Linked DNA regions of Ovis aries. The protein of the gene in region 2 interacts with the protein of the main gene of each other region in a biochemical or structural test. Links are inferred from orthologs where the notes say so. Each region holds a gene or a part of one and is shown on either strand. Other genes may lie near its edges.

The links.
Region 1: the proteins of STX1A (region 2) and SLC6A1 form a complex in vitro, tested with the Homo sapiens proteins (2 studies listed by BioGRID). The link is inferred for Ovis aries from reciprocal best matches to the Homo sapiens genes STX1A and SLC6A1.
Region 3: the proteins of STX1A (region 2) and STXBP5 form a complex in vitro, tested with the Homo sapiens proteins (2 studies listed by BioGRID). The link is inferred for Ovis aries from reciprocal best matches to the Homo sapiens genes STX1A and STXBP5.
Region 4: the proteins of STX1A (region 2) and SNAP23 form a complex in vitro, tested with the Homo sapiens proteins (3 studies listed by BioGRID). The link is inferred for Ovis aries from reciprocal best matches to the Homo sapiens genes STX1A and SNAP23.

Annotation. Positions count from the first base shown.
Region 1 is NC_056072.1:55,028,440-55,035,265, reverse strand, and holds part of SLC6A1 (sodium- and chloride-dependent GABA transporter 1), read right to left. Parts: intron 6,383-6,826; coding exon 6,270-6,382; intron 5,903-6,269; coding exon 5,771-5,902; intron 4,337-5,770; coding exon 4,234-4,336; intron 2,496-4,233; coding exon 2,395-2,495; intron 1,553-2,394; coding exon 1,385-1,552; intron 1-1,384. UniProt on the Homo sapiens protein: Mediates transport of gamma-aminobutyric acid (GABA) together with sodium and chloride and is responsible for the reuptake of GABA from the synapse. The translocation of GABA, however, may also occur in the reverse direction leading to the release of GABA.
Region 2 is NC_056077.1:34,005,618-34,013,227, reverse strand, and holds the start of STX1A (syntaxin-1A), read right to left. Parts: upstream 6,127-7,610; 5' UTR 6,099-6,126; coding exon 6,069-6,098; intron 3,676-6,068; exon of another isoform or gene 3,543-3,675; intron 3,026-3,542; exon of another isoform or gene 2,882-3,025; intron 1,791-2,881; exon of another isoform or gene 1,688-1,790; intron 1,422-1,687; exon of another isoform or gene 1-1,421. UniProt on the Homo sapiens protein: Plays an essential role in hormone and neurotransmitter calcium-dependent exocytosis and endocytosis.
Region 3 is NC_056061.1:71,707,153-71,714,672, reverse strand, and holds the start of STXBP5 (syntaxin-binding protein 5), read right to left. Parts: upstream 4,287-7,520; 5' UTR 4,160-4,286; coding exon 4,007-4,159; intron 2,779-4,006; coding exon 2,681-2,778; intron 1-2,680. UniProt on the Homo sapiens protein: Plays a regulatory role in calcium-dependent exocytosis and neurotransmitter release. Inhibits membrane fusion between transport vesicles and the plasma membrane.
Region 4 is NC_056060.1:36,050,036-36,057,587, reverse strand, and holds the start of SNAP23 (synaptosomal-associated protein 23), read right to left. Parts: upstream 4,404-7,552; 5' UTR 4,339-4,403; intron 1-4,338. UniProt on the Homo sapiens protein: Essential component of the high affinity receptor for the general membrane fusion machinery and an important regulator of transport vesicle docking and fusion.

The DNA.
Region 1 (6,826 bases), on a different chromosome or scaffold from region 2:
CAGGGCTGAGTCCCCGGCACTGACAGTGGTGTCTGGCACATAGCAACTGCTCAGTGTGCGTCTGCTGATGGGGTGACCCGCTTCCACCTTCTCTGCACGCCCTGCCCCATCCGACCCCATCAGCATCTGTCCTCAGACGAGCCTTCCTGTTTCCCACCACGGGGCCTTTGTACAGGCTGTGATCTCTGCCACTCTGAGACCTGACTACCTTTTGAGACTTAGCAGAGAATCGTGGGAAAAAAAAGCCTTGGACGTGGAGCTGGAAGAAAAGGCCACAAGGGCCCTAATCTGCTAATACCTGACTGCAAGGGGTGGAGAAGAGGCTTCCTGCCACGTCTTCCCTGTGCTGCAGAACTGCAGCCTCTCTTGCTGGCTCTGAGTGGGTCTTGGTGGGAAGTCAGGCTAAGAAGTGCGGATCCAGGTCCTCCCCAGCTGTGGCCCTGCATCCGTCCTCAGTGAATCCCCCAGCCCACACTTACTCCGTCAATGTCTCAGCCCCTGGACCTCCAGCACAGCCTTGTTCACTCAAGGATTCAATATAATTTAACAAAGAGCTGCTATGGACCCAGCATGTGCTAGGGGGCCCCCGCTGGGGATAGCATGCCTTTCATGAGTTAAGCTCTTAGCACATCTGATTCCACCCTTCACCTGCTCCTCAACGGCTCCGCACAACCCTCAGGATAAAGTCCAAAGTTCTTGTCCTGGTTTTCCAAGCCCTTCATGATCTGGGCCAACCTTCTTACATTCCCAGCCTCATCTCTCACCTCCTCCCTGCATGCTGCCTCCCCATGCTGCCTGCCAGCCTCACTGATCAGTTTATACCCCTGGGCCTTTGCACATGCTTCCTACCCTCTGCCAGGGACATTCTCTCTGCTTCTACTGTTTATCTATCTATTCTTTTCAGATTTGTTCTTATAGGTTATTACAGACTATTGAGCAGTGTGCCCTGTGCTCTCCAGCAGGTCCTTCTTGCCTGCTTTATGTATATCACTGTATGTATGCTAACCCCAGCTTCCTAATGTATTCCTCCCTTATCTCCTTTCCCTTTGGTAACCATAAGTTTGTTTTCTACGTCTGTAGATCCGTTTCTGTTTTGTAAAGAAGCTCGTTTGTATCTTTCCTTCCTGCTTCTACTTTTAAGTGTGGTTTGTCCTTAGGTCTTTTCTTTGTTGTCCCCTCTTTCAGAAAGCCTCTCCAATCCTCCTCAATGCGGGCAGGGCTAACCCGCCTCCCTGGTTCACCCCAGTTGTGACCTCTGACACTCTACTGTCATTGGCTATCGACCTGTCCTCTCCCCAGCTAGACTGCGCTCACAAGGGCAGGGGTGGTGCTCAGCACAGAAGAGAAGGGGCCCAGCGACAGGAAGGGCAAGGAACGGGCTTACCTGCTTCAGGGAGCCCTTTAAGGTGAGGAACATGTAGGCCATGTATCCGGGGATGAGAACCATGGAAGACAGAGCCATGAGCCAGCCCACGCCCTGGCCCCACTTGGGGAAGACGTAGCTCCCCATGGTGAGAGGGGTCATCTGCACGGCGCTGAAAATGAACACGCCCTGGGGCGGGGGCGAGAGGGAGGGGCCGGCGGTCACCCAGACTGGACTGCCAAGGCCCTTCCTCAGGCCCTGTAGATGGCAGGGCCACTGCGCTCCACCCTGCCCTGGAGCTGACAAGGGCCCAGCATCTTGGGAATCCCGCATCCAGGGCCACTGCTAGGATATAAGGTAACTTTGTGTAGAACAGAAGAAGCCACCATCTCTGAGAGGACCAATAATAAAAGGTGCCTTCTCTGTGACAGCCAATAGAAAAGGGCCTCCCTGCTGGGAGAGCCAATAAGAAAAAGGTGCCCTCTCTGGAAGAACCAATAGAAAAAGGCGGTTCCTCCGGGAGGACCAATTGCAAAAGGCATCCCTTCGTCCAGGTAACTAGAACAGGGGTGGGAGGTCGCCCCAGCCTGCCGTTGGCTGGGTGCCCTTGTGCCGCACACAATATATACAGTGGCCCAGGCCCACTGCAAAGACCTGGGTGGTCCCTCCCAGGCCGGTTCCTGCCTTAGTTCCCCCTTGCAGGAGGGAATGAGGGACGCTGAGAATGCGGGGCCTCCCCACGTGGATGGTTTGGCTTCAGAATCAGGCCAACACGGTTTGAGGACAGCACCTGCCCACTGGGTGAGGCTGGCTGGTGAGCCCCAGCCCCCCACAGCAGTGAAGTGAGGCAAAGACAGCTACTGTGCTGAGGTTTGTGAAGACTCCAGGGAACAGAGGAAATGCTCAGCACAGATGGGAGAGAGCAGTATTCCTAGGGAATAGAGGTCTGGGGCTCTTCCACCTGCCTTTGGCTCCGGAAGTTTCTCTCTGGCCCCGAGTCACCCCAGGGTCCGGTCTGGCCCTGCCCTTACCGCCACAATGATGGGGGTGAAGAAGGACCAACAGAGCTTCCACCAGATGCAGGGCCTGGAGCCGACCATCTCTTGGATGTTGTCATAGAACCGGTTGACGCCTGTGACAGTTGGGACGAGAGCAGGAGGGATGAGAGAGCAGTGGGCTCGAGGCCCCGACCTGCTGCTTCCTCACACCGCAGCCACGGCCAAGTCACCTAACCTCTCTGAGCCTCAGTTTCCTCGTCGGTAACACAGGGCGAATGCTCCAGGGTAGGGAGTCCTTGTTAGCTAAGTGCTCAATAACCAAAGCCCCCCCCCACCCCCACCACCCCCAGCAAGTGGGGCAGTCACTTGAAGGTGAGACCATCTACCACCAAGAGGATGTACCTACAGGAAGGAGCCCCACCAGCCTCAGGTCCCTCCCACTCAACATCTCTCCCAGCAAGGCCTTTGAAGCTTTGCTGGGCAAAGGTTTTCCCTGCTGATCTATTGCATGAGCGGCTGCAGATAAGACTGCATGGAAGAACTCCCAGTCGTGCAGAAAGAAGCCGCAGAGGTCCTGAAGTTCACGAGAGTTCACACTGGGCGCTGCTCAGACTAAAAGCAAGGTCATTGAGAATGAGGACCTGGGAGGGTCAGACCAGGTGGAGAGCAAGAAGGGAGAATGATGAGGAGGGTGAGGGGGCAGGGCTACAGGGACCCCAAGGGACCCTGGAGAACACTTCTTCCAAAACCACCAGCTTGCTGTGAAAACCAAAGTGCCCAAAAGGACAGCTTTTTCACTATCAGGCAGTTGAGTCCAGAAACTCAGGCCACAGGATCAACAAACACAAATCACCATGTCCTGCATTCTTTGTTCTATGATTGTTGCCGTTGTTCAGTCGCTAAGTCACGTCTGACTCTTTGCATCCCCATAGATTGTAGCACACCAGGATCCTCTGTCCTTCACTATCTCCCAGAGTTTGCTCAAATTGACATCCATTGAGTCGGTGATGCCAACCATCTAATACTCTTCTAATACCCTCTTCTCCTCCTGCCCTCGATCTTTCCCAACATCAAGGTCTTTTCCAATGAGTAGCTGGCTCTTCGTATCAGGTGGCCAAGGTATTGGAGCTTCAACTTCAGTGTCAGTCCTTTCAATGAATACTCAGGGTTGATTTCCTTTAGGACTGACTGGTTTAATCTCTTTGCAGTCCAAGGGACTCTCAAGAGTCTTCTCTGGTACTGCAGCTTGAAAAGCAACTTGAAAGGTGCTCAGCCTTCTTTATGGTCTAGCTCTCTTAACCGTACATGACTACTGTTCTAAAACACTGCATGCTTTTACTTATAGTTTAGCTTTTAAAAAATATTTAACTTTAGAACTTTTTTTTGTAGTTTTGCTTTTCTTTTTCTAGATACAATTTGAAATAATCTTTGATCCCCAAATTTATGAAGAAATGTTGGCTCCCACTTTAAAGGAGTTTAACTCAAGAGTTCAGTTCAGTTCAGTTCAGTCGCTCAGTCAAGTCCAACTCTCCCGGAGTTTACCCAAACTCATGTCCATCGAGTTGGTGATGCCATCCAACTAGCTCATCCTCTGTTGTCCCCTTCTCCTTCTGCCTTCAATCTTTCCCAGCATCAGGGTCTTTTCCAATGAGTCAGCTCTTTGCATCAGGTTGCCAAACTATTGGAGTTTCAGCTAGGGTATCTTCTAAACATGGGACGTCCTATGCTAACTTCATTGAATTGCTGTGAGGACCAAATAAATTAATGCATGGAAAAGGCCTGGTGTTGAAACTGTATTTGCAGAATGATGAGTGGAGGAAGGATGACTGGATGGATGAAGGAATGAATGGCGGAGGAGGGGCTGGTGCTTACCGTAAAACCAGGAAATGGAGACACATTCAAAGAACACGAGGAACAGAAGGCTCATGCCGCTGGCTGAGTAGTAATCGAAGAGTTTGAAGACATAAATGCCCCCCTGCAAGAGGAGAAGAGGGCAGAATGGGTCCACTTACCCTGGGGTCCAGTGCATTCAATTCAGCGTCAACATAGGCTGTGCAGGTTGGGGTTAGGCTACCCTGCAGCAAGAAGGCCTGACAGTAGATTAGAGGAAGGGCAGGGGGCCTTGCAGCCCTGCAAGGATGTGAGCGTGGATTCTGGGGACCAGGAATAAAGTGTCTGAGTGGCGGATGCAAACACCCCATTTCTGGGAAGGCTGGAGGGCAGAAAGAGGAGCTGGTCACCCGAGCCGCATGTTCACAATGTCAAACAAGTCATGTCTCCCCCCATAAGCTCTTCCATAACTTAAATAAGACCGTAATGTAACACATAAAAAGACAGATAAAATAAAATCCAAAACGTATTTGGAACGTCCTGCCCAATCCGGCTCTGCACCCACGACCTACCCCCCGACTCCGTCACCTCGACACTGGCCTTCCTCCTGTCCCCCACACTCGCCAAGTCCATTCCCACCCCAGGGCCTCTGCACCTGCTGTGGAGGTCTCTCCCCTGGCGAGGCCTCTCCCTTGGCTGGCTCTCCCGCACCAGTGAGGCCCTCCCGCCCTGCTGCTCATTCTCCATCCACTCTCCCATCTCATTCTGCCACATTAACTGCAGAATCTGCAGGGTCACGCCAGACCCACAGCAGCCGGTGAGCAACAATGAAGAATGGAGTAGCAGAGCAAGGATAAACCTGGGGCCAAACGGCATCTGGATCCAGGGATGGCTTTTGCGGCTCATAAATCAGACCAACAGGGCTGGGCTCACAGCTTCAGGCTCATTTGTATTTATCATGTAATTCCTCAGTTGTGTGTCTCTCTTCCAACTAGACTGGAAGCTCTTTCTTTAAAAAAACAATTTTATTTATGTGTTTGGCTGTGCTAGGTCTCAGTTTAACTGAGGCACGTGGGGCCCTCAGTTGTCGCACTCAGGATCTAGTTCCCTGACCAGGGATGGAACCCTGGGCCCCCTGCACTGGGAGCCCAGAGTCCTAGCCAGCGGACCACCAGGGAAGTGCCTTGGAAGCCTCTGAATGCAGAGAGGCCTGCTCACTCTCCGGATAGAAACAGGAAGGTGGAAATGAAAGGAAAGGAGAGCATCAGCCTCCAAGGCCCAGCTGCAACCTGACTCCCCGGGTTAACTCTGTGAGTCTTTCAGGCTCAACCCCGCATTTCCTCCTCCAGGAAGCAGTCGCTGGGGCCCCACGTCAGGTTGGGGAGGCTGTGTTCTCATTTCCCCCTCAGCGTCTGCATCTCCCACCAGCCTGGGAGCCCCTTGAAGGCAGGAACCCTGTCTGAGTCATGGCTTGGGGCCTGGCACAGAGACGGTGCTCAGCAGACACATGAGAGGGGGCACAGCAGGCCTGCTGGGGGCCCCAGGTAGCAGCAGCGGCAGAGACGTGCCAGGCGCCCACCTGGGTGATGTTGGACAGGCCGATCAGGTAGGAGACGAGGCAGACGGCGGCGATGAACAGCTCCCGGCGGTTGCGGAGCAGCCTGGGGTACTCGTCCACCAGTGCGGTGATGAAGCCCTCCACTGTGCAGAACTGCGGGGGGGCGGAGGTCAGCCACCCGGGCAGCTCCAGCCCCCACCCCCCAACCCCAACCCCAACCCAAGCCTGACCCTTGGGCCCAGCAGGGCCAGGAGAGCCTGGGATCCAGGCCTGACTCTCCCGCCACCTCCCTCCGTGACCTCAGAAGAGGGCCTTCCCTCTGGGCATCAGTTTCCCCATCTGGAAACTGGGCAAGGTGGCTGACCTGCCCCTAACATCTCACATGCCGGAATATTCTAGGGGGTCTGAAACTCGTGGCCATGTTCCCAGGGACCTAAGACAGTGGGCTGCTCTCCTGGCTGGTTCCTGGACCCGGGAGGCTGGCAGGGGCTCCTCGAGGTGCCAGGGACGGCGTCCTCACCTGGCTATCAATGCCCAGCATGAGCAGCATGGAGAAGAAGAGGATGGCCCAGAGCGGGGAGATGGGCAACTGGGTGACGGCCTCCGGGTACGCCAGGAACGCCAGGCCGGGGCCTGTACAGGGAGAGGCAGAGGAGGAGAACACACGAGGCCCTGAGCGCCCGCGGCCACCCCAGCACACTTGCCGCCTAAGCTCCAGCTCACCTCACGTTCAGAGTCATCTTTTCAGAGAGTGTTGTCAGCCTCCCTTTCCAGACAAAGAAACAGTGTGGGAAGGGGCTGGGAGGGAGGCAGGGGGTTACCGGGTTGGGTTCGGAGGCAAGGGGACCAGTGAGATGAGATGAGCGACGGCAGGGGCCTGGCCAGCGGTGTGGGGACTTCCAGGTGCAGAGAGGGGGCCAGCTGCGGAGACACTCAGGAGGCAGAGTGGGCAGCTCCTGGTTTTGGCTGGTTTGTGAGGGAAGATGAGGGAAGCACCAGGATGCTGCTGGGGTCTGGCCTGGGCACTGGACACTAGAACCCTTTGCTGTGATGGGAACACACGGTATAAGGCTCAAG
Region 2 (7,610 bases):
TAAAGAACCTGCTTGCCAATGCAGGAGGCATGGGAGACCGGAGGTTCGATCCCTGGGTCGGGAAGATCCCCTGGAGGAGGAAATGGCAGCCCATGCCAGTGTTCTTGCCTGGAAAATCCCATAGATAGAGGAACCTGCAGGCTACAGTCCATGGGGTGGCAAAGAGTCGGACACAACTGAGAACACACACACGCACACATACACGAGGGCCTGACCTCACAGCCTGTGTCAACCGACCGAGGCTCTGGGACTGGATGCTCCCGGGGCATCCCTTCCAAATGCTACAACTTCCTCCTCAGGCTCTTTTCACTCTCACCCCTCCACCCACCCCCACTTCATCTCATTGCTCCAGTCTGAAATCTGATCCCAGCACGCCCCACCTATAATCATCTCCCGCCCCTAGAATCTGCCCACTGTCCTCCCTGCAGACCCCAGGCGGCTTCCCCCTGCCTGCAGTGCTGATTCTGTGAAACCGACATTCCCTTCTTCATCAGATGGCAGCTCTTTCGGAAGCCTTCCTCATCTCCCCAAGGATGGGACCTCGCTCCTCTCATTCCCCACACCCTATTCACATCCCTACTGGAGCCACTGCAACAGACTCTTAAGCCCTGGGAGACCTGAAAAGTCACCCTGGGCACAGCTTCTAGTCTCAGCTTTCACACCTCCAGTGGTGGAGAGCTCACTAGCTCCCCCAGGCTCTTCTGTCTATCTAGGGCAGCCCCAACTGTTAGAAAGCCCTTCCCTTTCCTACAAGTTGGCCCCAGGCCATAGAGAACCTGTTGGTGCCCTCTCCCTGGGCTGGCCCTGCCAGAAATCGGAGGGCCAGAGATCTGAGGGCGGCATCTGCATCCTCCCTGGTTTTTCCTTCTCAAGTTGACCAAGTTCCCTCCGCTTTAGATCCTTCCCGGAGGCCTTAAGTCGAAGCCCCCGCCCCAGATCTGTTCCACTTACTCTCTGTCTTCTCCAGCAGGACAAGATGGAAACTGAATCTGCTGCTGACTGTGGTCGGAGCAGGGCCAAAGCTCTGACCCACCACCTCCCTCTTCCTACAAAGTCGACCTCTGTTAATGCAGCCAGAGACCACAGAAGTCGTCACACAGTTCTTCCTGCCAAGGAAGAAGCCCTTCCCCTCCCTGTGTACTTGGTTGGCTTTTGGGCTCAAATGAAGGATCTTCATTTGTTCTGATCCTTGTCCCAGTCTGTGAGAATCTGATGGTTTATGCCTTTGTCGCCCCCTCCTACTTTATCCCCATCTAGGCCAAGGCCCTGATTGATTAGGGCCCCAGCTCCCTTGGGAATCGGCCAACCCTCTCAAAGTGGCAGTCACAGCTCCGGAAAGACGGCTGGACTAGAGTGGGGGACCGGAGAGGCTGTGGTGCAGAGGCGGCAGCTGGAGTCGTGAGGCAGTTACAAGCTCCGAGGTACAACTGTCTTCCGACAAACTCCCCCAGACATCACATGGGCACCTTGCCAACCACCTGGCCAGAGCTAAGTTCCACTTCTTCCTCCTGAGCCCCCGTTCTTAAAGAGTCTCCCAAGCCAGAAACTGGGGGGCATCCACTCTTCCTCCTCCTCTCATATCCAACCAACATCCAATTGGCTCTGGTGTTTGTTTTTTGATCCTGTTGTTTTTAATTCGTGGCGTCCCAGGTGGCTCAGTGATAAAGAATCTTCCTTCCCCTTGCAGGAGATGTGGGTTTGATCCCTGGATTGGGAAGATCCCCTGGAGGAGGAAACGGCAACCCATTCCAGCATTCTTGCTTGGACGATCCCATGGACAGAGGAGCCTGGTGGGCTACAGTCCACGGGGTCACAAAGAGTCGGACATGACTGAGCATGCATGCACATTTCTAAGTATCTTTCAGGGGTTCTCAACCTTGGACCAGCAACAGAGTCCCTTGGGGGTAGTTAAAAAAAAAAAAAAAAAAAAAAAAACACAACAGCTTCCAGACCAAATGAGAATCTATGGGGGTGGCGCTGGTGAGGTTGTTTTTTTTTTTTCTTAAAGCCCCCCAGGATTGGGAACCCCTGGCCTGTTCTCTGGCCAGCTGGCTATCTTGGCTCTGGTCTCATCACCTCCAGCCTGAGCAATCAGGAAAGGAAGTCAGGGTGCGTGTGAGCACTGCCCCCACCACAGGGACCTGTTGAGACAGGGGAGGGGATCCCACTAGAAGCCCCCACTGTGCAGCCCTGGTGGTCTCTCTGGGCAGAGGCACCAGGATTCCACGATCCCTTCCTGGAAATAAGAGTGCGATTCCTCCAAGAGGTGCGGAGGCCAGGCAGCCTCCAGGCCTGTCCCGGGAGATGGCGGCCGGCCAGCAGGCACGGTTGATTCATTGCTGCTGGAGCAGGAGTTGCTGTTGTCTGTCTTGAGGGCTATTTTTTTTTTCCCCTTCTTTTTAATGACTAATCAAAGCCTATCTCACTAAAGCAGAGAGGCCCAGAGCTGAGTCAGGGGTGTGCGAGAGACTGAGCTAGGTCTCCAGAAAGAAAGGACTCTCTCTGACCCCTTCCTCTTCCCCACCCTGCAAACCATGCCCCCACCCGCCCACCAGATCACCTCTGCCAGTCTACCCCGTAGCAGGGCCCCAGCACAACTCAGGGAAGCAGCTTCAGGGTGTGGGGAGGGGCTGGGCTCTGCCTCCCTCCAGGTGCTGTGTGACCTGAGATGAACTCCTGGCCCTTTCTGGACCTCAGTTTTCCACTTTGTAGAATAGGAAGTGGCACTAGACAGTCCCTGGACGTCATCTGCACCTCAGATGAACATGTGCCCAAATTCATTATTATTAATAATTTTTTTAAAGAAATCCCAAGGAGGTGATGGAAAGAAGGGCCCCTAGCCTGGGCCTATTCTTACACCCCCCTTTCTTCTGCTCTGCAGGGCGAAGTGGGCAGGCTCCATTATGCAGACAAATGAGCATAAGGTTAAAGCACCCACCTGCCTGTTCTTGCTCCGAGACCCTCAGTCCCTTCAGTCGGCAGAGGGGTCACTGGGCTTCACCACTCAGGCCCGCATGCTGTCCCGGTGAGCAAGCGGGGACTCTGGGTGTCAGGCCCAGGCATCGCCAGCCCCTCTCCCTTTTGTCACATGGGTCCCTTATATTGGCCCATCCTCCCTCCTCCCAGTCAAATCCAGCTCCTCCCCCGGGCGATCCCAGTCCTCTTCTTCCAGGAAGGTTCCTGTTCTGCCCCACGCTTCCTCCTCTCTCTGGCTCTGGCTCCTGCCACAGGCCCCCGCTGTGTCTCATGGCCCAGGAGGCGCATACACACCGTTCTGGGCCCAGGGAGGGGTGTCAGCTCCAAGCAGTCCTCGGAAAGAACACTGGGGAGACCTCTGAACAGGGGGATGGAGGTAGCTGCTGGCCAGGCTGGGGCTGCCTGGGGACACCTGTCCCTGAAGTCCCCCTGGTTTTATACCCTCTGGTCGCACACGTCCGCACCCCTCCTTGGGCTCCAGGTTGCCCTTTTGATCTCTGAGGGCTGTTGGACGCTTTCAGGCCCCCACACTGGCCCTGGATGACCCCTTCCTTCTCTCTCTGCAGGAGAGGATCAGCCCCCGTGAGAGATGAGGAGGGATGGAGAAGGCTGGAGGGCTGGGCCCGGCCTGCAGTGCGGAGGAAACATGCCAGCTCCTTCCCCAAGTGTGACTTTTATAAATAAGCTCCCTTCGCTTGCTTTCCTTCTTCCAAATGTGGTGGCGTGGGGTGAGGAAGGAGGAGGGGGGAGGGAGGGGGATGGAGGGTGGGGATGGTGCAAGCAGCTGTCCCAAGCACCACCCTCTGTCCAGCCCAGCCAGCACTGGCCTCTCAGTTCCTTGGGGATTCTGGTTCCTGGGGGTGAAGGTCTCCCCCAGATATGGAATCGGAGTCTGGAGACCTGTGACCGCTTGCCCTGAGAAGCTGGGTTCTCAGTTTTTCTATCCCTACTTCCTAGATGGGAATCTGTGCAGCCCAAAGGAAGACTTGTGGGAACGGCCGCCCTCCCTAGACTAATGGTTGCACCCCACTCAGTGTGGGCTCCTTCCAGCCGATCCTCAAGGGTGCTAGCAGCCCCTGAGGGACAGGGCCACGCAGCCACGAGTACGGCAGCCTGCGTGGGGAGTGAATGCCTGGAGTAGGGGAACATCTGCAGAGGAAGCCTCAGATTACTTTAGAGAAGCCAGACCTCATCACCTAAGGACGGGTCTGGCTAGTGTGTGTGCGTGTATATGTGCTGGGGTGGGGGAGGGATTCACCAGAGCAAAGACCGGGCTTCAAGCTCCTACAGTCCAATGTCTCTTAGGCCTTAGGTCTCAGCCACGTCTAAGTCTGACTGTTTTCAGGCCTAGGTAAAGCCCCTTTCCCTCATCCCACTTGATCTGCCAGGCTAGCCACATCTCTCTCTCATGCCTCTGTTTTCCCTTCAGTGAAGGGGATGAAGGTGATGAGTCAGAAGACGTCAGATGTCAAGGGCTCTGTTCCCCCTGAGCACTGGTTCCCACAGACACTCTGGTCTGACCCACCAGGCACCCAAACACCAGGAAATGCACTACACACCCTTCATCCCCAAGATAACAACACTCCTTCTGATTCAACCGAGCACAGGAAACTTGAGGGCAACCGCAAAGCTGGGGGGGAAGTGTTTATAGACACCATATTCGACATGAGGGACCATCTTCTTCCTTTGAAACCTCCAGGGGTTTACCCTGGAGCGGGGGGTGCTGGGCACTCAGCCAGGAATAATACAGGTCTAATGGGAGAGTGGGGGCTGGCAGCCAGAGCAAGGGGGTGATGGAGGCAGGAGGGCACAGGTACCAGCCCCAGGCTGCCCAGGAGACAAGACTGGTACAATGGGGGAGAGCCAGGCACAAGTGCAGGGAAGCTGTGTGCAGAGAGGACCAGCCATGGGATCACAAACCCAAAGGATACTTGGGACTTTCCATATAAGGGGACCAGGTCTCCAGCTCTAAGCTGGGTAGCAGGGGAAGGGTTCTAGGGAGACTCTGCCCCCACCCCTTACTCCTGCAAGAAGTCAGCAGGGTGGTCAGCCAGGGCCTCAGAGGAGCCTCAACCTGGTTTAGAGCCCTGATGTCCGGGTTCCTCACAGGCAGGCTTCACTTCCTTCTCTGCACAGTCCCGGCCCTGTAGCCCCTCCCAAGATTGCCATCTTTAAGGGCAGAGGCCAGGGGAGAGGGGCTTTGATGATAAGGAGCAGGCGCAGGGGTCTCTGTCTAGGCTGGCAGAGGGCGGGCTCTGACTCGAAACCTTTGCGCATCCTTCTGCTCCCCCCACCGGAACCACGCCCCAGAAGCCACACCCCAGTGGCCTCCGAAACACAGGTGGAAAAAAATAGGTTCAAGCCGGAATCCGATCTGGAAACCCAGGAAGGGTCTGGAAACGCCGGCTCCCGGCTGCCCGGAAGCCAAGAAGAGGGAACGAGAGCGGGCCTGACCCCTCCCGGATCGGGCAGGGCAGCAGCTGCCGATCAGCACCGGCTGGGGAGCCACAGGTGATGGGAGCTACAGGTGACGGAAGGTGATGGGGGCGGCGGCCGTCCCACGAGACAGCGCCCGCCCGAGGAGCCCGGCCCCACCCGAGCGGCCGGGTTCTGCAGCGCGCCCCGCAGCCGGGCTCTGGACAGGGGACCGCCCCTGGCCCCTTCCCTTCCCACAGGTCCCGCCGTCGGTCTAAACCAGAGGGAGTTCAGGCGGGTCAGTGAGGAGGCACGGCGGGGAGACAAGGGTCGGGACCTGCTCCGCCGGGCGACGGGGAGCCCAAGCTTCGGTCCCGCCACCGATATGCCACAATATCCCTCCGAAAACAAGGGGGGGGGCCGAAAAGTTTATCTAGGACCCCAGGTTCCAGCCGCCAGCCCGCGGGCCATCGCAGCCGAGCTCACGCGAGCTCGTGACCCCAGTGGGTCCGAGGGGCGGACCCAGAGTGCGGTGGGGTCGCCGGCTCGGCACCGCTCGCTCCCGCCCTGGCCGGGGACGCAGGGGCGACCGCCCCAGGGGCCGCCAGAGTCGGTCGGGAAGCGGACCGGGCCCTGGGCGCCGGCGGCCAGCGGCGCCGCGCAGGGGCTGGACTCACCGTGCGGAGCTCCTGGGTTCGGTCCTTCATGCTCCCGGGAGTGGCAGCGGCGCCGGCTGCAGCCCGGTGAGCCCCGCATGCGCGGCGGCCGCCCCGCGGCTGCGCAGCGCCAGCCCGGCCCCGCCCCGGCCCCCGGGACCCCGGCCCAGCCCCCAGCCCGGCCCCGCCCCGCGCCTGCCCCGCGCCTGCCCCGCCCCAGTGGGTCCCAGCCGAGAGCCCAGCTCTGGGGCTCTTGGCACCCAGGCTCCCACCCCATCCCGCTTAAGGTGCTCCGAAGGGGCTGAAGGGTCACAGACCCCGGGACCTCGTTCCCTTGCGTTCCCAACATCCGTTCGATCCCTCCCGGAGGTCGCTCCCCAGAGCCGCTGCCCCGTCCCAACGCAATCCTCCCTCGACTCAACCACTCAGCATCCCTCCTTCTGGACGCAGACTGTTTCTGGACCTTCACCTCCAGAACGCCTCACATCTCTGCTAGAGGCCAGACACCACCTCCCTCCTTAGTTTTATTGCCTTGGGGTCTGCAGCATCACCCCCTCCCCAAACCTCCAGAGTTCCAGGCTTTGTGGCTCCCACCCCTCCGGCCTTCCCCCCAGAATCTCATCCAGACTCAGGCTCAGGCCCCCTCTTTCCCCAAGATTTCTCAGTTCACAGTCTGATGCTGAGTGACCACCTCGTTTAGTTTCTACTCTCAGCAAGATTGCAGGAACCCCTCCATTTGGGGGGAAGGAGATCTAGGTTATTGCCCCATCTCGTTCTCCTTCCCCTGTATTCCCAACCCTGCATCCCAGCCCCAAGCCTGAGAGCTTATTTCCTATCTAGAAGCTGAGGGTAGCTAAGCAGGAGCCCAGCTCCACTGGACTAATGGGAAGATCTTTGCAGAGCTGGAGAGGGATGGTGGCTGGGGGTTAGTCAGTAGCAGAGGCTCCTTTCCGGGTTTCTGCCAGCCTCTTGTTGAGCAGCAGCCACTCACACACCCCCAGCTGCCCCCTCCGTGCCCTGGCCTAGACGCTCTTGACCTGGAGCCAAACATTCCCCTTTCCCCTCCCCGGGGGCTGCCAAAGGTGTTGCTCTGGAGTTGAGCCAGCCTCCTGCTGTGCAGTGTGTCAGAGCCTGGCACTTCTCCCAGACTGTGGGCTCAGGTTAGCTGGCTGGCAGACAGGCTGGAGGCACTGTTCCAGCCATCCCTTCTTCCCTAGAAAGTCCGGCCCAAAGCTAGCTCAGATGTAGCCTGGCCTGAGAGACAGCCACACCCCTTCCACTTGGCCAGACCTCAATCTTGAGTGACCCACACAGCAAGTGCTGGTTGCCCAGTTTGACAGATGCGAGACCGGGACTCATCTACTAGGAGGCTTGCCCAGGGTTACAAGGGACAGGCAGCAGGGAGAGTGCTGATTCCTGGTCCAGGGTGCTTTCCTGTGTGCAGGGTGACTCAGTGGGGTGAGTCATGGGTGCAGACCTGGAGCCGGTTGTCTGGCCCTGTGGGGGAGAGGACAGAAAGGGAGACACAGCTCCTGCCCTCACAGAGTCCTGGTATCATGCCAG
Region 3 (7,520 bases), on a different chromosome or scaffold from region 2:
GATATCAGATATAAATTCCATATTTTATTCCTAATCTCAAAACAGAACTTAATATAGTCCTTCAACATTTAGGAAGATATTCTATTAGTTAAATTAGATATCCAATTCAAATTCTAATAGCCCAATCCCACTTTTAAAAATCTCCTACTCTGCTCCACAGTTAAATGAAAGTAAAGACTTTGATTTACAAGTATATTTCTGTCCTAAAGACATCTTTTAGAACAAAATGTATTATAGGCTATAAGAGTCTAATATGAGAAAAAAACAAAGGACTAAAAGAAACTGAATAAAACAGTGAAAAACATAGCTAGGGCAAAAGAACAGACTTAGAATAAGTCTGCACATTAAATCAATATGGAGCTTGGAAATAAACTATAGCTGCCCAGTTTTCAAAACAAGTGGAGAAACGAACAAATTTTAAACCACATATGGTAGAAATTATATAAGAATAAAAAGATCTTAGTCACTTTCTACAAATATAAGCCATAATAAAGCTCATGAGCTTATCTTCTACCTAAACTTGACAGGAGGAATGACTAGGTGGTATTACTGGTAGACAAACCAATTTATCACTCTGGAATGTTCATATAAATCTCATAAAAGGGAAAGCAGAAATATATTTGATAAATTCCTTAATTTCATTCTAAATATAGTAAGAAAAGTTCTAAAAAAAATTAAGTGTAAATGTAAATTATAGGTTTCCTTTTCATATAGTATTTAACTATTAAACATGTACAAAAGCAAAAGACTGATATAAGTGATGAGTTTGTACACCTGATCCCTACTGTCATTTGGCAATTAACATTAGGCCTAACACTTTAACCTCTCCCCTTGCGTATTAATAATATGCTAATTACTCAAATGCATTAGGGGTAAAAAGTCTTGTTTAAGAAAAATATTTGGTCTTATAAAGTCAGCCTTGCTTGCAATACTTATTATATTAAGTTATAAAAGAAGCAGACTGGCTGTTAAAAACAGTTATGTACATAAAAAAATTAAGACCACATTGGGTCTCAACTGGGAAAACAGTAAAAATTAAACCCACTGAAAAGAAAACCAAAATAATCTAAAAATAACTAATTTAGTTCCACACTTTTCCCCCTTTGAGTCCAGGCGATACTCTCTTTGTGAACAAAAAAAATTGGCTTTTCATTCTGAACAGTCCATCTAGATCAACAACGCACTGCTTTTGCCACTACACAGAGCTGTGCTGGACAACTAGTACCCACACTGCCAAAATTTAAATCCCATCTTCACAAGACTAAAACAGGAACCCTCCAGTAGAAAGGTATTGATCACTGGATATAGGAATATCTAAACAAATGAAGTAAAAAATATTTCAGAATCAACTAGATATTTGGGCAAGAACCATTTAGACATACTGTCTTAGAAACTCACAAACTGAGATCTAGCCTGGTCAGATATTACCATTTTACTAGGTATGAGAGTACTATTGATATTTACTATGAATGATAGTCTTCACTTAGTAACACAATTCAATGAAAACTTTTATAAGCATTTTGAACATAGCACATTAATCACAAAGGAAACGAGGCACATCCTGATACCATATATAGCCCTACTTTGAAATGAAGACTTTGAAAGGTAAGGAAATGCAAAATGTTAAATCAAACATAAGCTTCCCACCCCCTCCCCCTTCTCAGGAGGCAGATAAATCTAAAATGTGGAAAGCACAGTTCCTTGTGTCTCTGTTTATTATCTGGTGGTTTTTTGCTATTTATTACCAACACATTACCTCACTAATATATAGGAAGCAAATACCCTATTGATGGTGAACAAAGCATTTTCTTTTTAAAATCTTAAGCTTAAGTTTAAAAATAAGGGCAATGTAGGTAAATGTCACAGTAAAAGTAAACACAATTTTACTTCAAGTTTTAATAGTTTGAGAGGAATTGTTAAATATTCTCCATTGTTCAGACTGAAAAAATGATCTCGAAGAATGAGTAGATATTTGGAAAAACATGCTATGATAAAATTATAGTTCATGCATAACTAGGAAATATGTCTCTATACTTCAGAGGACAGTTAACCTCACAGTATTTACATATACATCACAAATGTAGATCATGATGGGGAAACATATCAAGATAGTATACTTCTCTATTTGCATTATACTAAGAAAATGCTCTAAAACTTCTAGAAAACAGCAACACTTTGTAACTTATAAAATTTACATTTGTTTTCTAATTTTTTTAGATGATCAGGTCAGAAACAAATTCAAATTCAATCTCTAATTCAATAGAATAATAAATAGGTCATAACTGGAACATCTACTATGAACAATATTTTTAAAAAGCAAATAAAATGTGCCTCGTGCAATTGTCTTTAAGCTTCATCCTCAACATAGCCTGTTCAATAGACCACTACTATAAGCAGATATATTTCCCCTTAGAAACGTCTACCTCCTTGCAAAGACAGTAATTATTATTACAAACCTTTAGAACTCTTTTCACATGCTTTTAGCTGTGTATAAATTGAGAGTCAAGACACAACAAGGCAACACACAACCTGAACGTATGTATAATCAAGGGGAAAAACAACCACAGGATTTCACATTAATACCTGATCACACCATTTCTTTGGAATTACACAGGAAAAGCAACTAATCAGCAAAGAGAATGACTGGGGAAAAGTTCAATTAAATTAAATGAAAGGATACAGCCTTAAAGCACCAGTCTGAGTTCCCACTGCCAGGATCTTCTGTACAGGATCAAAGGCCAGGGCCGAGGGTTGATAGGGAAATCCATGGCGAACAGTCTAGGCATGGGCAAGTGACATCACAGCAACCAGGGCAGGAAGCAAAGTTTTAAAACAGAAAAGTCAACAGAGACATTAGAACCTAGAACCAATTAAGAACCTATTATAACTGAAACAAAACACACATACATGCACTGCTATTTTAAAAAAAACTATGAAAACTATGAATTCTACATCACATAAAAACTTATGCAAGTAAACACTGAAACCAAAAAAAAAAAAAAATCGATCCCAGTGTTACATTTCTACTTTCTCATCACAGAGGTACTCTAGAAAAAAATTTAACATTCTTTTTACTCTTATGTCTGAAAATAAATTATTAAAGTTGGCAGTGGTAAAAAATTCTGTAAATTCATTTAAAAATGCAATTCATGCTTATTTCAAGTGTGATAACTTCATCCTTACTTTATTTCTATGTTAAATGCAAGTACGTTTACGGAAACACTGTCATAATTAAGGATTCAGCAAAGGAATTAGCAAAAATCTATCTCATCATGTTGCAACCGTAACAGAATGAAAATAAATACAGCATCTATTTTTGCATCTTGGTATTAAATCCTTAATTTTAGGCTACTGAAGCAAAAAGTATAATACACACTTAAACTCTGACTTAACGAACGCCTGGTATTTATGAGGAAGGCAGGTATTAATACAGACACAAGTTTGTATTTCTCACTGAGCAGCTGGTGAATTAATTCGCTGCATCATTCTTTCTGAATTACACATCACTATGGCAATTGCCGTACAATTAACAGGCAAAAATTCCACTTCTAACTTTTCCACCAAACACAAGGCTAACAAGACCCTGTGATTTCATATGTGAAGTCTCCTACCACATTTTAAGGTGAAAATGAGCCAACATCCAGTTGAACACGTCTATCTTTCTCATAAACAATATTCGTTAGACACTTCCCAAAGGAAACTTGGAAGTCGGTGAAAGATCTATCAAAATGCTTGAATATAAACGTCGTTGATTAAGAATACGAATTAAAGGTCAGTATGCTGGAAGCAATCCTGAAATGACTGCCGCATGTGAAAATCAACGAAAAGAGGAGTAAGATGATGTCAATCTCCAAAATAGCCCACCAAGCAAATGTGTGCTGTGGGAGCGAGCCCTTTTATTCGCGGTATTGAGTATTATTGGCGTTCTAACCCTGGCACTCAGGCTTAAAGCCCGAGGTGCCCCTAGAACGACCCCAATTTTCGCGGGGCTGCGCGCTCCGTTCACCTTGCAGAGCTGAAAGTGCTCGGACTGGAGCGTTTCCTGGATCTCGGGCTCCCGGTTCCCAGGTAGGTGCTGCTGCTGCTGCTGCTGCTGCGAGGCCGAGGACGAGCCGGCGGTCAGGCCGTCCAGCACCTTCCTGATGTTGAATTTCCTCATGGTCGCGGCGGGGCTCCCCCGCACCCCGGGAGCCGAGGTAAGGGGCGTCCCCAGGCGGAGGGGAACCGGCCCGGGCCGAGAGCAGCTTCGACCGAGGACGCAGAGGAGCAGGCGCGAGTGGGAGTGTGAGGGGAAGGAGGCAGCTGGGGAGAAGCGAGAGATAATCCGAACAGGAAATGCTGCGACGACGAGAGAGCGCAGCGGCGACCAGAAGCCCCGCCGGCGACCCCTCTCGCTCTGAGGCCGCCGCTTCAGCCGCCGCCGCCGCCGCCGCCTCACTCCGCGGCCCGGCGGCACAGCAGTGGCGGCGGCGCCCCGAGCCCGCGCCGCCCAGCCTCACCTGGCGGCGGGCTGACTCTGCGCCGCGCCGCCGCCCCGGCTCGCCCCCGCCGCCGCCGCGTCCATGGCCAGCGGCTCCGCCGCTCGTCGCCCGCCCGGGCCCCCGCAGTCCCTCAGCGCTTCCTCCCGCTCCGGATCAGCCGCCTCCTCCTCCTCTTCCTCCCGGGGGTCGCCGGCTCTCCGCGTTCGCCGCTTGGCCTTCTTGCCGCTCAGCGCCGCTGCCCGCCGGGCATCGCACGCAGGGCGCCGGGGTGGGTCCCCGCGCTCTCTGCCTGGCTTCTCCGCGGCTGGTTCGGCCCGCCCTCGCTCGCTCCTTCAGAGCCCCGGCTGCCCTCCTCAGGCACCGCCGTCGCCGCCGCCCGCGGTCCCGCCCGGCCGCTCCCTCCCGCCTGACAGGGCGCCTCGGCACAGGGCACCAACGCCCGCTCCGAGCAGCAGCGGCAGCCGCGGTTACAGCGCTGGCCGCGGCGGTGGCGGCAGCTGGGCCTCGGCGGAGCCGGGCTGCTGAGCATGCGCACCGCGCGTACCCACCCCCTCCGCCGTCGGAGTGGAGCTGGGGCTTAAATTATCCTCTGCGAAAATCCCAGACCGTGGCTAAATTTCTCCCATCTCAGTCGCCCTGCCAGTGGATGCAGCTGGTTCTCCTGCAGCTGGGGTAGTAAAAATGTTGATGACTACCAAGCAGCAGGAAACCTTTACTTCAAAATCGGTCATTAGAGCGAGGGTTTATATTCTCACCCTTTAACGAGGCACACACTCCCTGCTGCTGGCTGCAAAATGATTGTTGCTGCTTTTTTGATGGTATTTGTTTTGGGTTGATTTGGATTTGGATTTTGGAAAAAGAGCGTCTAGACAACTGTTATTTCTGTGGCAAGAGTATGACAGACTTAGAAAGGTACTAGGAAAGGAGATGAACCTGCAGCGGGGAAATGAATTCTTTCCTGAAGCTCTTACTATTGGTAGGATGAAAGCGTGGACCTGGCAGGTAGCTGCTAGAATGGGATAGGCTGCCAAAGGGAACCGGTTCCAGGGCTGGGTGTCTGCCCCAACCAGTGACACATCAGCCCTGGATTCAGTCCGCACGCTAAGGTGGTGGAGATGGGGGTGGGAGAGAGGGTAGAAGTAAAGAGCGCGGGCACTCATTTCAGAATCTTCAATCCGTCCTGTAATGCTGTTGTCCACTAAGCAATCTCCAGTAGCTTCTTCACTCTTGCAAGGAGAAAGGGGGAAAGAAGGAAGTTTAAGCTCGAATCTTTCCATTGCTTCACTGTCACAGTCTCACTTGGATGCTCACAGGCAGATGTCTAGCTCAAGTTTGAAAAGATAGATTTATGCTGCGGTTACCTTTTCCGGAGAGTGAGTTTAACACGGAAAGGTGGATGGGAAGCAGAGGTACTGATTAGGAAGGAGTGGAAACTAGGAAAAAGTAAAGAAAAGGTTGGAAACCCATAAAGACGAAGTCTAATTAGTGAGGTGGAAGTGGGAAGAAGCGTACTCTCCCAAAGCTAGCAACTCCCAGCCCCTGACGCTTCTGAGTTACAGAGGGTTTTCTGAGCCCAAATAAGAAGTTCCCGCCCTCTTCCTTATGATTGGTCGCCTCCCGCCCGGTGCAGGGAAATTCTCGTCAGAGTATTGGTTGAAATGACAGGCTGTCAAGAACAGTCAACAAACCAGTAGCGACTGAGCCTCAGGAATTTCGGGAAATGTAGTACTCTGGAGCTTCCGCATCCAAGAACGCTGTCTTACACTAGAAACCTATAAAATTGTTTTAATATGTATTGAATTTAATATGTATTGAATATTTATTGAATTACCTAGTTAATTCACTAGGCGTAACCAGCGATAAAAACAAGTTTTAAGATTTTTTTCAGGCCATTTCTAAGTGGCTCTGAAAATTTTGTTTACTGATTACATTTTTTGAGTGTCGAACACTTTGCTAGGTACTGAAGACTCAAAGCTTTCAACGAGCTCGCCAGTCAAATAGGAGCAAACCTCAAGTAAATAAATAATTGTGAAACAATGTGATGAGTTCATTGAGGAAATCATGCAAGAGAAGGACTGAAGAGGGTTAAGGGAAGGCAGGAGAAGGCCTGGAGATGGGGAACTCATCATAGTTGAGTCCAGGTGAGGAGGAGTTGGCTAGGTGAAGAGGAGGGAAAAAAGCATTAGAAGCCAGCTGGGAGACGGTCAGAATTACCTGGAGAGCTTTTTAAAAAATAGGTATATCTCCATAGGGTGAAGGGTGAAGTCACTCAGTCGTGTCCGACTCTTTGCGACCCCATGGACTGTAGCCTACCAGGCTTCTCCGTCCATGGGATTCTCCAGGCGAGAATACTGGAGTTGGTTATCATTTCCTTCTCCAGGGGATCTTCCTGACCCAGGGACTGAACCCAGGTCTCCCACATTGGAGGCAGACGCTTTAACCTCTGTAAATTGCAAAAAAGAGAGATCACTTCCCCACAGAATTTTATGATCCACCTTTTCACCTAGTTTGAAAATATATCTGTTGGATGATTTGTCATCACTGGATTATGAAACTGTTTGGAGAAGGGACAATTTCTTGCTGAGAGGCTTTGTGGTATAGTGGAAAAATCCTAGACTCCATTGTCTGCCAGACATGGATTTCAATCCAGACCTTGGTAACATGGGCAACCTTGGACAAATTCCTTACTTTTCCTAAGGGTTAGATTCCTCATGTGTAAAATGAGATTAATACTACCTTCTTCCTTGGGTTTTGGAGGATAAACTGGGGAAGAAAAATGTAAAGTTTGCACTAATTAGGTACACATTCAGTTCAGTTCAGTTCAGTCACTCAGTTGTGTCCGACTCTTTGCAACCCCATGAATCGCAGCACGCCAGGCCTCCCTGTCCATCACCAACTCCCAGAGTTCACTCAGACTCACGTCCATCGAGTCAGTGATGCCATCCAGCCATCTCATCCTCTGTTGTCCCCTTCTCCTCCTGCCCTCAATCCCTGCAAGCATCAGAGTATTTTCCAATGAGTTAACTCTTCTCATGAGGT
Region 4 (7,552 bases), on a different chromosome or scaffold from region 2:
CAGGGCCTGGGTTCAATCCCTGCTCAGGGAACTAAAATTCCACAAGCTGCATAGCATGGTCAAAAAAAAAAAAAAAAAGTGCCACAATACAGACATGCAGGAATAAAACGTGTATGTATGCGTGTGCATGTGTACAGAGTAGTGAAGGTGGCTTTAACAGGCAGACAGGACATAGTTTGTGAAGGGCTTATCTACTATACCAAGAAATTTGGATTTTCTTTTTCTTTTAAAAATATTTCTATTTCTTTTAAAAATATTTATTTGGCTGCTCTGGGTCTTTGTTGTGGCATGCAGGGTCTTTCAGTTGCAGCATTCAAACTCAGTTGCAGCATGTGGGATCTTATTCCCTGATCAGGGATCAAACATGGGCCCCCTGCATTGAAAACATGGAGTATCAGCCACTGGACCACCAGGGAAGTCCCTGAATTTTATTTTAAAAGCATCAAGTTCAGTTCAGTCACTCAGTCGTGTCCGACTCTTTGCGACCCCATGAACCTCAGCATGCCAGGCCTCCCTGTCTATCACCAACTCCCAGAGTCTACCCAAACCCATGTCCATTGAGTCAGTGATGCCATCCAACCATCTCATCCTCTGTTGTCCCCTTCTCCTTCTGCCCTCAATCTTTCCCAGCATCAGGATCTTTATAAATTAGTCAACTCTTCGCATCAGGTGCCCAAAGTACTGGAGTTTCAGCTTCAACTTCAGTCCCTCTAATGAACACCCAGGACTGATCTCCTTTAGGATAGACTGGCTGGATCTCCTTGCAGTCCAAGGAACTCTCAAGAGTCTTCTCCAACACCACAGTTCAAAAGCATCAATTTTGGGGCGCTCAGCTTTCTTCACAGTCCAACTCTCACATCCATACATGACCACTGGAAAACCATTGCCTTGACTAGATGGACCTTTGTTGACAAAGTAATGTCTGTTTTTTAATATGCTGTCTAGGTTGGTCATAACTTTCCTTCCAAGGAGTAAGCGTCTTAATTTCATGGCTGCAATCACCATCTGCAGTGATTTTGGAGCCCCCCAAAATAAAGTCAGCCACTGTTTCCACTGTTTCCCCATCTATTTGCCATGAAGTGTTGGGACCGTCCAGAACTAACACCCCCAAAAGATGTCCTTTTCATTATAGGGGAATGGAATGCAAAAGTAGGAAGTCAAGAAACACCTGGAGTAACAGGCAAATTTGGCCTTGGAGTACAGAATGAAGCAAGGCAAAGGCTAATAGGGTTCTGCCAAGAGAACACACTGGTCATAGCAAACACCCTCTCCAATACAAGAGAAGACCATACATGGACATCACCAGATGGTCAACACCGAAATCAGACTGATTATATTCTTTGCAGCCAAAAGCATCAAGAGGCAGTCTAACGGTAATCTCAACTGTCAAAACATTGTTAAAATAAATTTTAAACAAGTTTTATATACAAGAACTCACAAAAATCAAGAAGATGAAGGAATTTCAGAAAAATATAGTGAATAGTGACTTAAATATTTTAGTAGTAATTCAATCTAAACTGAAATTAAAACCAAAATGTCAGTGAACTTAAATGAGTAAAATGGAATCCCATCTCCACCCCCACCAATATTACAAAAGAACAGTAGATGCTGTTTCCTGGCTCCACAATCCACTTCCTCCAATTGTTAGAGGCACTGAATCCATCTGTTCCAAGCCCCTACCACTACCACTCCCAAGACAAAGAAAAGACCAGTCCCCGTCATTTATTTTCCTGTCAATCTACAGACCTGAAAACAAAATACAGCACTGGAATAAAAGGTTCAGCACTCTTGGATGCAAGCAATGTCATATATTATAAATGCTAACATATATAGAATGCAAAGTACAAAGAGTTAAAAAAACAGATTTCAGAATGTTTAAGACATAGGAACCACAGGAGGGAAACAAAGTACCTTAATTCAGCTGATTTCACAAAAACGTCAAAGAGCAAAATCCTCTTTTTCCCTTTTGCTATTCTACTTTTATCTGGTTTCACCAGATAAGTTTGTTAGAACTGTGTCACAATAATGAATACCATCACAAGGCTGAGAGAATTTTGGAGTCCATCAACATTAGAGTTTAGGTAGTTCAATTTCCACTTTATTTTAAAAATGAGTAGATTAGGCCCAAAGCTGCATTTTCCAAAGTGCAGAGCAAGAACAAGAAACGATTTTGCCAAGGGGGAGATGGGAGGTTCGGGAGGCAGGGGATATGGGTGTACCTATGGCTAATTCTTGTTGATGAATGACAGAAAAACACAAAATTTTGTAAAAAGCAATTATCCTTCAATTAAAAAACATTTTTTTAAAAATATACTAAAGCTGAAAAGAAATGATTTTGTTATAGTTCACGGGCTTCCCTGGTGGCTCAGTGGTAAACAATCTGCCTGCAAACAAAAGAGATGTGAGTTCGATCCCTAGCCTGGGAAGATCCCCTGGAGAAGAAAATGGCAACCACTCTAGTATTTTTGCCTGGGAAATTCTATGGACAGGGGAACCTGGCAGGTTACAATCCATGGGGTCGCAAAGAGTTCAACATGACTTAACGACTATAACAACAAAAAACAAATGGTTCAAAACAAGTGAAGTACCATAAGTGTCCCATGAGCAACAGGGCCTATTTGTTTGCTTTCTTCTTGGCTCAAGGTATTGTTCCCAATGATTAGAAAAGGTGTGACCTGTAGTTCAGTGAGCTTGTTACTAAAGTTGATTTAGAGTAAACGAGACAAACACTAAGATGCATACAGAAATTTTACTGTTTATAGGAAAGAGTGTAATATTGTTAAAAAAAAATAATGGCACAAATAAATCATTCCTTCTCTGGAACTAAGACAAAAGCAATTTTCTAGTGCATATTCACATACCATAAGCATCTAAAAAAAGAACTCCAGCAACACTGATAAACATTTAAGTTGTAGGTTAAATTATATGATCATTTTATTTACTTTCACATGACCTGTCAAAGGAGCAGAGTCATATAAAAGGTTTTTCTCCTAATTATTTACATGAATGTGTTTTTTCTCATTACCTCTTGCCAAAGGAATGAATGACAGGTGATCACTGCATGCCTTGGCATCAACTTTGCTGGCAGCGGAAACAGTAATATTTAAAAATTTTGCTATGAAATGTTTCAAGATGAGATGCCAAAGTATTCTTGCTAATGATGTCTCAAGAATTTCCATGCAAGACAAGAAAGTGGAAGAACCATTTCTATCTAGCCATACTTGCAGTATCTCACTGGGACATCTGAAAACCGATCTTAAGGGCACCACGGCAGATAGAGTAATATCACTCTCAAATCTTAAAGTATCTGCTGCTGCTGCTGCTGCTAAGTCACTTCAGTCGTGTCCGACTCTGTGTGACCCCATAGACGGCAGCCCACCAGGCTCCCCTGTCCCTGGGATTCTCCAGGCAAGAACGCTGGAGTGGGTTGCCATTTCCTTCTCCAGTGCATGAAAGTGAAAAGTTTAAGTGAAGTCACTCAGTCGTATCCAACTCTTAGGGACCCCATGGACTGCAGCCTACCAGGCTCCTCCGCCCATGGGATTTTCCAAGCAAGAGTACTGGAGTGGGGTGCCATTGCCTTCTCCGATCTGCTACAAAGACGCTACAGTATTTTCACAGTGCTGAGGGATCACTGTCAGAAGCTGCCAATTTCCATACTCTCCTCTCCCTATTGCTCCCACCCTTCCCCGAGAGATGTAAGTTAATACTCCTTTCTCATCTTCTTTTCCCAACTTTGACGAATTTCGGTTTCCTCTAACTCCCATCTGCCTTTCCTTGCATTGTGGTCACTAACGATGAGAAAAAGTCCCATGTGAAACACTTTCCGGGACTTTCCCCCGCCCCGCTTACCCTGTGGAATTCGATCCTTTACCGACCCTTTCCTTCGTGTGTCTTCCGTAAAGCCGCGTTTTAAAACTGGACTTCCCTGGACAGAATGGACTCTCCAATGCTATGAACCGCAGTACCCTCCTTCAAACAACTAGTTCAGAGTTTCTCTGATCACTGCGGCCACCATACAGTCTATTAATCCCGACCGCAGCAACACCGTGAGGGCGGGAAGTTAGAGAGTGGGAGTTTACCTCTGCTAGGTTTCTAGGAAGAGTCCAGAGAACCACCACCCTCCACCCTTCCTCCTCTGGCCGCTTGATAAGTCTCCCGGCGTCTAGCGTCCTCGATCAGGGCCGGACCTGCCAAGTCCCGGTCAGAGCGCCACCTCCTCCCCTTAAGCCCGACCTCACCAACTTTTCAACCGTCACGATACACTCTTTCTCCTTGAGATTATGATCCCAATCTTCTCCCCGGCCAGCTCACTCTTCCCCACTCCTGGAGACTCACCAAGCAGAGTTCCAGCCACTACTCTCCGGCCGCTACAGCTCTGGACACCCGCAGGCCGGACTCCCAGCTGCGACCTTCTTGCGCCTGCGCTCGCCAGCACTGCGCGCCTGCGCACTTCCCCGGCGCGGCGAGCCCGGACACACCCCTGTAGCTGGAGCCAATCACCGTGCGAGGGCTTTAAATCTCCTTGCCACGCAGGCGGAGAGCCCTGGGACTCACCCGTTTACCGGATAATTCGAGTACCGCCCAAAGGTGGGCAGTGTTCAGGCAACAAACTTTCACTGAGGGCAACCCATGTGCCTGGCCTTGTGCGGGATGAATGCTGAGGAAAAGGCGGCGAATAGAATGCCTTCCCTGACCTCTGTCTAGACTGGGAGATAGATTTGTAAACATATTATGAATGAATGAATGAATGAAGTCGCTCAGTCGTGTCCGACTGTTTGCGACCCCATGGACTGTAGCCTACCAGGCTCCTCTGTCCATGGGACTTTCCAGGCAATGGTACTGGAGTGGATCCCAAACCAGGGATCGAACCTGGGTCTCCCGCATTGTAGACAGACGCTTTACCGTCTGAGCCACCAGGGAAGTGGGAAACACATTATAGTGGACAGAATATAGTGCTTGGCATACAGAACATCCGAGGCGCCACTGGCGCACAAGGGACTAAGAGCTTTATTCTTAGGGTATCTGAAAGGGTTCCCGGAGGAAGTGAGTTTTGAAGTCATGAAGGATAAGTAGGAGTTGCACCGGAGGTACGGGGGCGGGGTGGGGGGGATGGGAAGTAGGGGTGGGGGCGGTGGGGGTGGGAAGTAGGGGTGGGGGCGGGAATAGAGGTCTCCAGACTGCGGGCATCGGAGAGTCCAAGAAGACCATAGTGCCTTCTGGAAGTTTCCTTGTAGTTCATCTAAGCTCCTCGTATATCTTCCAGTGAAGCGGGAAATGAGTTCTTAAAAGTTGGCAATGGCCAAGTCTTGGAAAATCTTGTACTTTTGAAAGTGAGCCTACAGTTTACCATGATCACTGAGAATATTGAAAAGTTTAAAAGTAGATCAGGAAATTGCTCCAGGCTCCCCTGAGAATACAGCACAGTGCTGGAAATAAAAAGTTTCAAAGGAGTTGTCTATTCCTAAGGAGTCAAGGAAGATGAAATCTGAGAAATACCACCACAGAGGTCATTGGTGATCTTAGCTATGTCATGAAATGACAAGAGTTAAAGATAGATTGCCGTAGTTTGGAGAGAGGAGATGCAGAAATGAGGACACATTATAGAATGCTTTTGGAAAGTATGGTCTTGAAGGGAATGGGAAAGAGGACAAGTGTTCAAGTTTTTTGTTTCTGCTTTTTTGGTTGCTATTAAAATTAAGACAGGAAAAACTTAAGCATGCTAGGTAAGATACAACTGAGAAAATAAATAGTTTTAAAGAGAAGCACTAGTCAGTAGATCTTGAGTGGGTAGGAGTAGAGGCAGTCCAAAGTACTGAGGGAAGGAAAGGTCTTGGAATCAAAATAGAGAAGATATCTCCTCAATTTTAATGACAGGAAGTATTTGTAAATCTGTATGTTTAGTAACAGGAAGTTAAAGAAGTTCTCATCTGTTGGCCTCTTATTTTCTCTGTGAAGTAGGAGACAAAGTCATCTACTGATAGAGAGGAGTTAGATGGAAATACCAGACCACCTAACCTGCCTCTTGAGAAATCTGTATGCAGGCCAGGAAGCAACAGTTAGAACTGGACATGGAACAACAGACTGGTTCCAAATAGGAAAAGGAGTATGTCAAGGCTGTATATTGTCACCCTGCTTATTTAACTTCTATGCGGAGTACATCATGAGAAACGCTGGACTGGAAGAAACATAAGCTGGAATCAAGATTGCCGGGAGAAATATCAATAACCTCAGATATGCAGATGACACCACTTTTATGGCAGAAAGTGAGGAGGAACTAAAAGCCTCTTGATGAAAGTGAGGGAGGAGAGTGAAGAAGTTGGCTTAGAGCTCAACATTGAGAAAACAAAGATCATGGCATCTGGTCCCATCACTTCATGGGAAATAGATGGAGAAAGAGTGGAAACAGTGTCAGACTTTATTTTTTTGGGCTCCAAAATCACTGCAGATGGTGATTGCAGCCATGAAATTAAGACGCTTACTCCTTGGAAGGAAAGTTATGACCAACCTAGATGGCATATTCAAAAGCAGAGACATTACTTTGCTGACTAAGGTCCGTCTAGTCAAGGCTATAGTTTTTCCAGTATTCATGTATGGATGTGAGAGTTGGACTGTAAAGAAGGCTGAGCGCCAAAGAATTGATGCTTTTGAAGTGTGGTGTTGGAGAAGACTCTTGAGAGTCCCTTAGACTGCAAGGAGATCCAACCAGTCCATTCTGAAGGAGATCAGTCCTGGGTGTTCTTTGGAAGGAATGATGCTGAAGCTGAAACTCCAGTACTTTGGCCACCTCATTAGAAGAGTTGACTCCTTGGAAAAGACTCTGATGCTGGGAGGGATTGGGGGCAGGAGGAGAAGGGGACAACAGAGGATGAGATGGCTGGATGGCTTCACCGACTCGAGGACATTAGTTTGAGTGAACTCGGGGAGTTGGTGCTGGACAGGGAGGCCTGACGTGCTGCAATTCATGGGGTCGCAAAGAGTCGGACACGACTGAGCGACTGAACTGAACTGAACTGAAGGTAATGGCACCCCACTCCAGTACTCTTGCCTGGAAAATCCCATGGACCGAGGAGCCTGGTGGGCTGCAGTCCATGAGGTCGCTAAAAGTCGGACGCGGCTGAGCGACTTCACTTTCACTTTTCATGCACTGGAGAAGGAAATGGCAACCCACTCCAGCGTTCTTGCCTGGAGAATCCCAGGGACAGGGGAGCCTGGTGGGCTGCCGTCTATGGGGTCACACAGAGTCGGACACGACTGAAGCGACTTAGCAGCAGCAGCAGCAAGTCAAGATTTGAACTCGGGACTGTCTGTTCTGAAGCTCTTGCACCTGTCAATAAGCTTCAGTAAATTTTACAAGGAAAGAATGATTGGAAGTTTAGCCACAACAGTTGCCACTGCTTAGGGGAACGGTGGGGACTTAGGAAGAGAGTAGGAGTAAGAGGGAAGCCTAAAAAAAGGCAAAAAGAATGGAAAAGAAAGGAGGGAGGCTGGTTACAGCGTTACAGCAGAGTCCGGTGCAGCGGGATAAGTCTGCCAGCTGGGCTGCCTTGTG